2 linked regions of the Coturnix japonica genome follow. Each later gene encodes a partner of the first gene's protein in a complex. Links are inferred from orthologs where the notes say so. Each region holds a gene or a part of one and is shown on either strand. Other genes may lie near its edges.

Evidence for each region.
Region 2: the proteins of RABGEF1 (region 1) and RAB21 are in contact, whole or in part, in a crystal structure (PDB 2OT3), measured with the Homo sapiens proteins. The link is inferred for Coturnix japonica from reciprocal best matches to the Homo sapiens genes RABGEF1 and RAB21. Residues at the interface, in NP_001273991.1 of Homo sapiens: Leu253, Cys254, Lys296, Phe299, Asn300, Lys303, Pro309, Ala310, Ser311, Ala312, Asp313, Phe315, Leu316, Pro317, Ile320, Leu347, Met348, Thr349, Gly350, Glu351, Gly353, Tyr354, Tyr355, Thr357, Asn358, Cys360, Cys361, Ala364, Phe365, Ser373; in NP_055814.1 of Homo sapiens: Ser19, Phe20, Lys21, Gly26, Glu27, Gly28, Lys32, Thr33, Leu37, Thr50, Thr51, Leu52, Gln53, Ala54, Ser55, Phe56, Ala71, Trp73, Asp74, Thr75, Ala76, Gly77, Gln78, Arg80, Phe81, Leu84, Ile87, Tyr88, Asp91.

Annotation. Positions count from the first base shown.
Region 1 is NC_029534.1:3,855,739-3,860,254, forward strand, and holds the start of RABGEF1 (rab5 GDP/GTP exchange factor), read left to right. Parts: upstream 1-1,587; 5' UTR 1,588-1,707; intron 1,708-4,516. UniProt on the Homo sapiens protein: Rab effector protein acting as linker between gamma-adaptin, RAB4A or RAB5A. Involved in endocytic membrane fusion and membrane trafficking of recycling endosomes. Stimulates nucleotide exchange on RAB5A. Can act as a ubiquitin ligase.
Region 2 is NC_029516.1:33,033,896-33,038,420, forward strand, and holds the start of RAB21 (ras-related protein Rab-21), read left to right. Parts: upstream 1-1,593; 5' UTR 1,594-1,815; coding exon 1,816-1,965; intron 1,966-4,525. UniProt on the Homo sapiens protein: The small GTPases Rab are key regulators of intracellular membrane trafficking, from the formation of transport vesicles to their fusion with membranes.

The sequences.
Region 1 (4,516 bases):
GTCAGCCAGTGCTTAGCTGGTCAGCAGAGAGGGACCTGCCACAGAGGTTAAAAAACCTCTGCAATATTCAACCAACCAAACAGCCTGAAACAAGACTGTTGGCTCAGGTACCTTAATGAGGCACAAAACAAAATCACCTCATGGAAATGATGGAGAGCAGTGTCTAACCTTTATGTTTTAATGTGCCACCTACTGTGTGGCTGCAGTCCCGTTGTCTGCAAAGTGGATGGCATGGATCTCAGCCTCAGGTGCTAGGAATGCTGACAGGACGTGGTTCCATTTTACCCACTTCAGAGTGTTTCGGTCACTACATTCAGCTTGTCACTTTATGGATTGAGTAACACCCCGCACTGAGATCCTGCAAGTGTAACTTTGGTGTCATAGACAATTAAACCAATAGAGGAGTATTGTTGTGAAGATGAAGCTATATGCATATTTTCTAAATTAAGAATCCTGCGTTGTGAAGTACAATATTTAGTTGTTTCTGTCGTTATTAAGAGGAACAGCAGATTGGGAAGAATATTCCTTATTGCTTTTTGGATTAATTACTGTTCATGAAGGACTGGTGCCTGTTTTTAGCCTTAGAAATTCTGAATGTTTACAGTACCTACAAAAAGAAACTCTATAGAATCAGGACTATCTGCAGAGGCTTCTGGTGAATGAGTAACTCCGTGTGTATGTTCCTATTAGCAGAAGTATTAAGAGTATTTAACGTGTATTATTTTATTACTGATTCTTTTTACATTCTGTGCTATTAAACTTTGTTCTGGAGCTGGTCAAGTCATGATACGACACAAGTGCTTCGTTCCTCACTTCCATCATTCAAACCATCATCTTCCATCATTCCATCAACATTCTTGCTGACACTTTGTGCAATACCAGCCCATTTTGTTCATCCCTATCCTGATATTTCTCCAGTTACCCATTTCTATGTGTCCAAAACTGAAGGATAGATGGAGCCATATGAAGATGCTGCTGTTTGGGGCTCTGAAAATGCATCTGTTGTCCAAAAAGACCCAACTTGAGGCAGCCTCACAGTGACCTTATGGAGGAAGGGGAAGTTTGTCTGCATATTGTGTCCCATTGGCTTCGCTCATCCAAGATTCTTAATTAAACATCTGACCAAAAGACTTTACAGATGTACTAATGGCGATACTAAAAGGCATCACTCACGTGAGAATAATGATTAAAAACTTGATGATAAAATGTATAGAAAAGGCTGATGGTTTGCATTGATTGATGTTCACGCTTCTATGCGGTTAAGGAATTGCTATTAAATTGCCTCTCAGAGATGGGGATGTAAAGCTCTTATGAGCCCTTTCCAAGTGTTTATTTGGAATAAAGGCTGCCAGGTGCTGAGTTTCATATCCAGAGCTGGAATAGTTAAACACAGCAGTGTTGGGAAGGGGGAGATGAACATCACTCAGGTTTATTTGACTCTTCAATATTTCAATTCAGTCATTCTTTAGGTTTCCCTACACTTTCACTGTGACTTTAACGAAAGCCTTTTGATTCGCTGTATTCCCAATTGAGTGTCTGTGTGTGTCCGGCCCAGCCGGGTGTGTATGAACGAACGGCTCCTCCCAGCCCGGCCCAGCCCAGGAAGTGACGCCGACCCCGTTTCCTCGTTCGGCCGCCGATCGGAAGAAGCGCCGGGAGCGGAGCAGAGCGGGACGGGGGGACGGCCCCGCCACCCCCGGGATAACGGTGAGCTGCTGCCCGCTGCCCTCAGCGGATGGAGCCGGGCCGCTCCCTCCTGGGCTGTCTCTTTCTCTGTCCCGCTCCAGGCCCGGCTCGCGGGGCCGCAATGAGGGTGAGGGTGAGGGAGGTGAGGGCCGAGCCCAGGTGATCCAGTGGTTCGAATGATCCTCCCCCTCTGCTCTGCCCTGGTGAGGCCTCATCTGGAATATTGTGTCCAGTTCTGAGCTCCTCAGTATAAAAAAGAAAGGGATCTCTTGGAAAGAGTCCAGTGGAGGGCTACTAAGATGGTGAAGGGCCTGGAGCATCTCCCCTGTGAGGAGAGACTGAGGGAACTGGGTCTGTTTAGCCTTGAGAAAAGAAGGCTGAGAGGGGACTTGATCCAGGTTTATAAATACCTGAGGGGTGGGAGCCATAGTGGTGAGGCTGGTCTCTTTTCAGTAGTGTGTGGGGATAGGACTAGGGGTAATGGGATGAAAGTACAGCATAGGAAGTTCTGCATGAATTTGGGAAGAACTTCTTTACAGTGAGGGTGACGGAGCACTGGAACAGGCTGCACAGGGAGGTGGTGGAGTCTCCTTCTCTGGAGATATTTAAGACCCGCCTGGACGCCGAGCTGTGTGACATGGTGTAGGGAGCCTGCTTTGGCAGGGGGTTGGACTGGATGATCTCTAGAGTTCCCTTCCAACCCCTACAACACTGTGATTCTATGACCTGCCTTAGGGTGCGGTGCTGAGTCAGCCGGGCACGTTGTGGCAGAGCCCGCTCGGTGCTTTGGGATGGATGGAGCTTGGAGCTGAGCTGGTAGAGCTGCACGGTGCTGGGAACATAGCTCCTAATAGCAGCTCAGCTTTAAGGCTGTTGGTGACACTGTTCTGCTTTGTTGTCGCTGTTGGGAAACTCTTTGAAGCGTCGCTGTGTGTTGGCAGCTCCTTGTGTTGGTGTCTGGGATGTGTATGGAGAAGCTCTTGGCTTCTCTTGCTCATTTGGGTCACCTTCCAGGCATGGCAGCACAGATAACTGTGCCTTTGTGTGTCTGACAGTGTTCTTGGGCTGCACTGAGAGAAGCACAGCCAGCAGGTGGATGGAAGTGGAAGGGGACAGACTCTAGTGGAGTCTGTTGTGACAGGACAAGGAGAAATGGTCTCAAACTAAAAGAGGGGATATTTAGACTGGATGTAAGGAAAAAGCCTTTTATTGTATGGGCAATGAGGCTCTGACTCAGTGCCCAGTGAGGTGGTGGATGTCACATCCCTGCAGACAGCCGGAGTTCAGCCTGGATGGGGCTGTGAGCACCTGATGGAGCTGTGAGTTCCCTGAGGGACCACATAACCTTTAAATGTCTCTTCCAACCCACATGATTCTGTGGTTCTTTGACAGTGCATGGCAGCAGCAGCCCTGCCGGGAGGACCATATACATGTCAGCCTTCTGGATGGGGCTGCACAAGTGTTTTGCAGGGGAAGACAAGATTGGGAAGACAGTTGTAACTCGGATGATGTTTTGCTGAGCAAACCCCACCAAAACAGCACGCAAATAGAAGAATAATAGGAACATGAAGTCAATGGTATCAGTTCATATCATCTTGCACAACAAGCAATCACCAAGTGAGGTGATTTCAGGTTTTTCATTGAGACAGGAGCATTCTCACTTCCGAACTTGTATCCAGTGAGTAAGGTTTATGTGCAGGCACAATAAGCAGAGTGTGTGGAAGCCGGTAGCTGCTATTTCTGAGCAGGTTTTAGAAGTTCTGGCTCCCCCTCTCACTTGAAATTCCCAGTTTCTTGTGATTTCATTTCAAAGTGCCTTTATGAGTCACGTGGATGTGGTGACACTGAGTCTGTTCATTCATCACTCCTCCAGCAGAGCAGTCATTGCTACAGGCACAATGTAAGATTTTGATGTGGGCAAGTAAAACTGTAGCCTGAGGTCTGCATTGATGCAGGGAGGGGAGAAGGGGGATGCCCTGACCGGTCTGTGAAATTGAGCTCTGTGGGTAGGACATTGAAGCCCCTCGGCCATTGGGCTCCAGGAGTTTAAAGCAGTGGTTGCCATTTCCCCTGCTTGATTACAGTCTGAGTCTGTTTGCTTGGTTTCAGGTGGCTGATCATGCTCTGGGTCTGTGGTTGCAGTTAACAACCATTTATATTCTCATTAGTATTAATCTACAACCTCTGCTGTGTATGTTGGGATGCAGATGTTACAGCTGGAGTCTCATAATTGCAAGGAAGATGCTCCCAACTTGGTGAAGACTCAAGCAATCTGTTCTGCAAACACAGATTCTTTGCATTTCTTTCTGAATTCTGAAGTTGCTTAATGGCTCTTGTATTTTCTGACTCTGTTAGATCACGCTGCCCCACCCTTTCCTTTGGAAGAAACCAGCTCATGCTTCATTAGCTCTCTGCTAATTACACGCTTGAACGTTTAGGGCTCCACGTGAGTCACGGCTCTTTCAACCCTTCGATGGCTCTGAAGAAGTTTGTGGCATTTGGGTCAGTGGTGGTTCTTTGGAATGAGCTCCTCCTGCACGATGGATGGTATTTTGGTTCATTACAAGCTGGTACTTTAGTGTGGTGTTCACTTAAAAGATCATCTCCTTCTTCAGATTCAGCACTGATTACGTTTTGTACCATTTACCCAGAAAGATATTTTCTCTTGCTTTGAGATAAGGCACTTTGTCTGTTTCTGAGCACTTCATGTGGGATGCAGCAGCAGCTTTGAAGCCGTTGGCTACCCCTATTATTCTCACCTTCCTTAGGCAAACTGCACTATTATTTCCTTAGGCTTTTCCTGCTTCTCCTGCTCTAAAATCCCATTCCT
Region 2 (4,525 bases), on another chromosome or scaffold:
TATTCAGTCAAAAAAAGGCATTCTCAAATAGTCCGAAATAAATCCAGATTTAATTACCACTACTAAAATAAATCGATAACTATCACAGATATTTCGATTTGCAGATTTCAGTGTCACACACATCAGATTACAGTCAAATGTGATGCTTTTTATAGCTCATACAGAATTTTCTTTCTCAACCATATCAGCCTTTTAATTTCATTTAGTGCAGGTGGCTAAAGTTTTGGGTATTATAACTTTTGCCACACAAACACATCTGTAACTACAGGGTTCAGGTAAGACAGAGGAAAACAGGAATGATGGAACGGAGTAGTAACTTGAAAGTGCTTATTGTCAGCGGGAAGATGCATCTTCTGGCTGTGCACCGTGGCAGAGGACTACTGGAGAAATGAACTGTGCCAGGACTGAGCTCCAGACTGTGTCTTATGCTTGGCTGTGCTCTGTTAGAAGAGCAGTGCTCATAGTTGTGGTCAGGAACATCAGCTTGTGGACTTTGCAGTGACTCTCCCTGATGACTCTTCTGTACCTGTGCCAGCAGCTCGTGCTCTTGAGCATCAACTTCCACTGTGTGTGCAATCTTCATCTATGCAGATCTCACTTCGTCATCCATTTGGCCTAGAAGACTTAGTAAAGTTTTACTTTAGTAGTTTCCTGCTCAGGCATGGAGGGCAGGATTGACAGCAGCATCACTTTCCAGCAAGACAGTATTTTTATCCTAACTTGCTGAAATAATTCACTTGCTGATGAAACTAGGAACGCATTTAAAGGAAAGATACCCTTGAAGAGTTTGACTGCATTGATTTTTCACCTTGTCCTGTTTCCTCTGCTTACATCTAGGGGGAAATAAAAACAAATCCATTTTCTATGTGAATGTAATGCTGCTCATTAATGAGGCTTCTTGCTCCAGGAAATCTGATCTTTGTTCTCCTGGAAGCGGTCTCTGTTCTTTCCTCCGTTCGTTCTCACACGACAGAGCATTAGTCTTATCTGACAAAGGAAATTGCACCGTGATGCCTTTTCATAAGCATTACTTTTCTTACCGCTAAATGATCACTAGAGAGGAGTTACATTGCAGCAGTTTGGATTGCTACGTGCAGAATGCTTTTAATTTAGGAAGGATATTCAATTTGACAGGACAGTTACCCGGTTCTTGGATGGAGAAATACAGGGGTTGGAAGTGGATGAGCTTTAAGGTCCCTTCCAACACAAAGCATTGACTCCAGGAAGGAGCCCAGAGATCAAGGAGTTCTACAGAACAAGAAGTGAAGTGTGTTTTAAGTTGAAGGTGGGAAGATTTAGATTGGATATCAGGGGGAAGTTCTTTACTATGAGAGTGGTGAGGTGCTGCCACAGGCTGCCCAGAGAGGCTGTGGATGCCCCATCCCTAGAGGTGCTCAAGGTCAGGTTGGATGGGGCCATGGGCAGCCTGGTCTTGGGTAAATTAATCTGTTGGTAAACCTCGAGTGCTTCACTGCTCTTATTCACGAGGAACACCGAGCACACCCTCCCTCCATCACACCCTCACAGAACCCCACCACAGATGGCGCCCAAACGCTCAATGCTCCCCGCCCCTCCCATTGCCGGCGCGTGACCGGGCGGTGCGTGACGTAGGAGGAAGAAGACGCCATTAGGGGCAGCGGGGCCGCTGGTTGTGTGGAGGTGTTTGCGGCTGTGTCTGCTTGTTGTCTCTCCAGCACTCCTTCCTCCATTCCTTCCTCCCGCCCCCTGCGCTCTTCATCCCTGCGTGCGGCGGCGTTCCGCGGCCGCAGAGCGGGGCGGTGGATGTGAGGCGGCCCGGCGGGCGGCGGGGCGCGGATGGCGGCGGGGGCCGGAGCGGCGGCGGCCGGAGGTCGCAGCTTCTCGTTCAAGGTGGTACTTCTCGGGGAGGGCTGCGTAGGGAAAACCTCCCTGGTGCTGCGCTACTGCGAGAACAAGTTCAACGACAAGCACATCACCACGCTGCAGGTGCGGGCCGGCCGGGGGCGCGGGGGGGCGGCTGTGGTTCCCCTTTAGGGGTACAGCTGAAGGCTGATTTGGGCTTCAGTTCGCCCGAATGGTGCTTCGGGGTCTCACTCGGTTCTTGTTTGATCGATTTATTCCTTCGAGTCTTGGGATGCGGAAGCGCGGCTTGAAAGTAATGTGGCTGTTGTTGTAATGGTTGGTGGTGGGCTGATGACTAAGTGCTTCGAGTGCGTTGCGTCTCTGTTAATGACAGCCTGCATCTGGTTGGCAGACCCGGTGCCTGAGTTACCTCAGTGCCAGCAGTTAGAAAGAACAGCTTTCACAAGCTTAAGGCTTATGATTTAATTACTCACAAGATCCGTGAGGCCATCGTGTAATCTCCATGAATTCTAGCCTGAGTTGTCACCGAACTTATAAACATCTGAGCAGTGAAATTCCACTGGTGAAATTGTGATGGGTGTCTACTGGAAAGTGATATTTGTTGCTGCCTCCCGGTGCTGAGCAGTCTGCATCCCACACAGCAAAACGCACGTGTGTTCTATGTGGCCTTGGAAAATGTGTTTTGAGTTCCATGTTGTGGGTTGTACAATCAGCACGTGTCTTTTGAGCTCTCTCTGCATGTTTAGCTTCTTTACTTGCAGCTGCGCAGCATCTCTTCTGCCTATTGAGGGCATGTATGTGGAAACATGGTTTTAGCACTGCAATCTATGCTGTGTTCTGTATGTTTTCTTGTAAATGAAGAAACAAACCCTGCTGCCATGTGGGTTCTGAACTGCTTTTGAAGGTCTGTTCAGCCTTTTGGGCTTGTTCAGCCTGGAGAAGAGAAGGTTACGGGGTGACCTCATTGCAGCCTTTCAATACCTGAAGGGAACCTACACCCAGGAGGGGAGTAAACTCTTCGAAAGGGCTGACGATAGCAGGACACGGGGAAATGGTTTTAAGTTAAAAGAGGGAAGATTTAGGTTGGATGTTAGGGGGAAGTTCTTCACTAGGAGAGTGGTTAGGCCCTGGAACAGGCTGCCCAGGGAGGCTGTGGATGCCCCGTCCTTGGAGGTGTTCAAGACCAGGTTGGACGGGGCCCTGGGCAACCTGATCTAGTAAAGGTGTATGTTTGGTGGCCCTGCCAGGCAGGGGGGTTGGAACTACATGATCCTTGAGGTCCCTTCCAACCCGGGTCATTCTGTGATTCTGTCTGTGAAATACAGTATAAATGGTGGTGCCTCAGGGTAGCTGTGTGCTATTCATGCACACCATGGGGAGAGATTCCAACTTTCCCTTAAAAGAAAGTAAACATTAGAGATGCATTGGAAACAGCACACTTAATATTTCATCAACAGGTATTGTTGCTCCGTATTTGTTTCAGGTAGCTAAAAATAATTTGAACTTCATCTGTCTGTGCTCATACTGGGCTGTTAGATGTACCTGTTTGTTGGTTTACTGAGGGTGATGTTGGAGGCACGGCAAGCTAATGATAGATCTGATTGCCACAGAGGTAACCTCTTCTTGACATGCTATAGAAGCGATCAGTCGTTGTTAGGTATCAGAGCTGCAGTTGTAACTTCTGTTGCTGCACCACCTGAAGGCTGGTGTTGAGCAAGCAGTCATGTTTAGAAGTGCACTGCAGTGACTGTGTATAGCTGAATTCTGATATCCTGTGTAGAGAGAATAGCTTGTCACGTGGCGTAGCTCTGGTTTTGTTGTCTCTTAAATTCTACAGCAGAAAGTCTAAAATTAGAAGCCAAAAGGGAGCTGGGTCACAGACATCAGAAAATGGAAATTTAAATGGCCCCAAAACGTTGACAGTCAAATGTCTCTCTAGGTGCTACAGCCTGAGAGCTTTTGCTTGAGGCTGCCTATGGGGAATGGAAGCTGCTTGTGAAGGAAGGGGAGCACATGCTCACATGTGATGTTGAAGCTCTGCTTCTCTGCAGTGATTATAAATACCTGAGGTGTGGGAGCCATAGTGGTGAGGCTGGTCTCTTTCCAGTAGTGCGTGGGGACAGGACTAGGGGTAATGGGATGAAAGTACAGCATAGGAAGTTCCGCACGAATGTGGAGAAGAAAGAATTACAGTGAGGGTGACGGAGCACTGGAACAGGCTGCCCAGGGAGGTGGTGGAGTCTCCTTCTCTAAAGATATTCAAGACCCTCCTGGACACCTACTTGTGTGACATGGTGTAGGGAACCTGCTTTGGCAGGGGGGTTGGACTCGATGATCTCTAGAGGTCCCTTCCAACCCCTACGATTCTGTGATTCTGTGATTAGGTTTCTAGTTGCTCCCTGTATATTTTAACCAGTTGCAGTATATCTTAACTCACCCCTCTTTGTTTTGTCTGAACCTCCTTAGTGCCACGCATCTTATTGATTGTTGAATCTCACTGTGTGTGATGTGTGCTTGTGTATTGTCATTCTTGCTTTTCTGTGCCTTGCAGTTGTGGAAGGAATTACCAAACCTAATGAAAACATTCATTTAAAAGAATAGATGGAGTGGCTAACAAAACAGTGACATTTTCATAAGATTTTATTTTCTTTTTTCTTATTAAAGGCTTAATTTGATAAGGTGA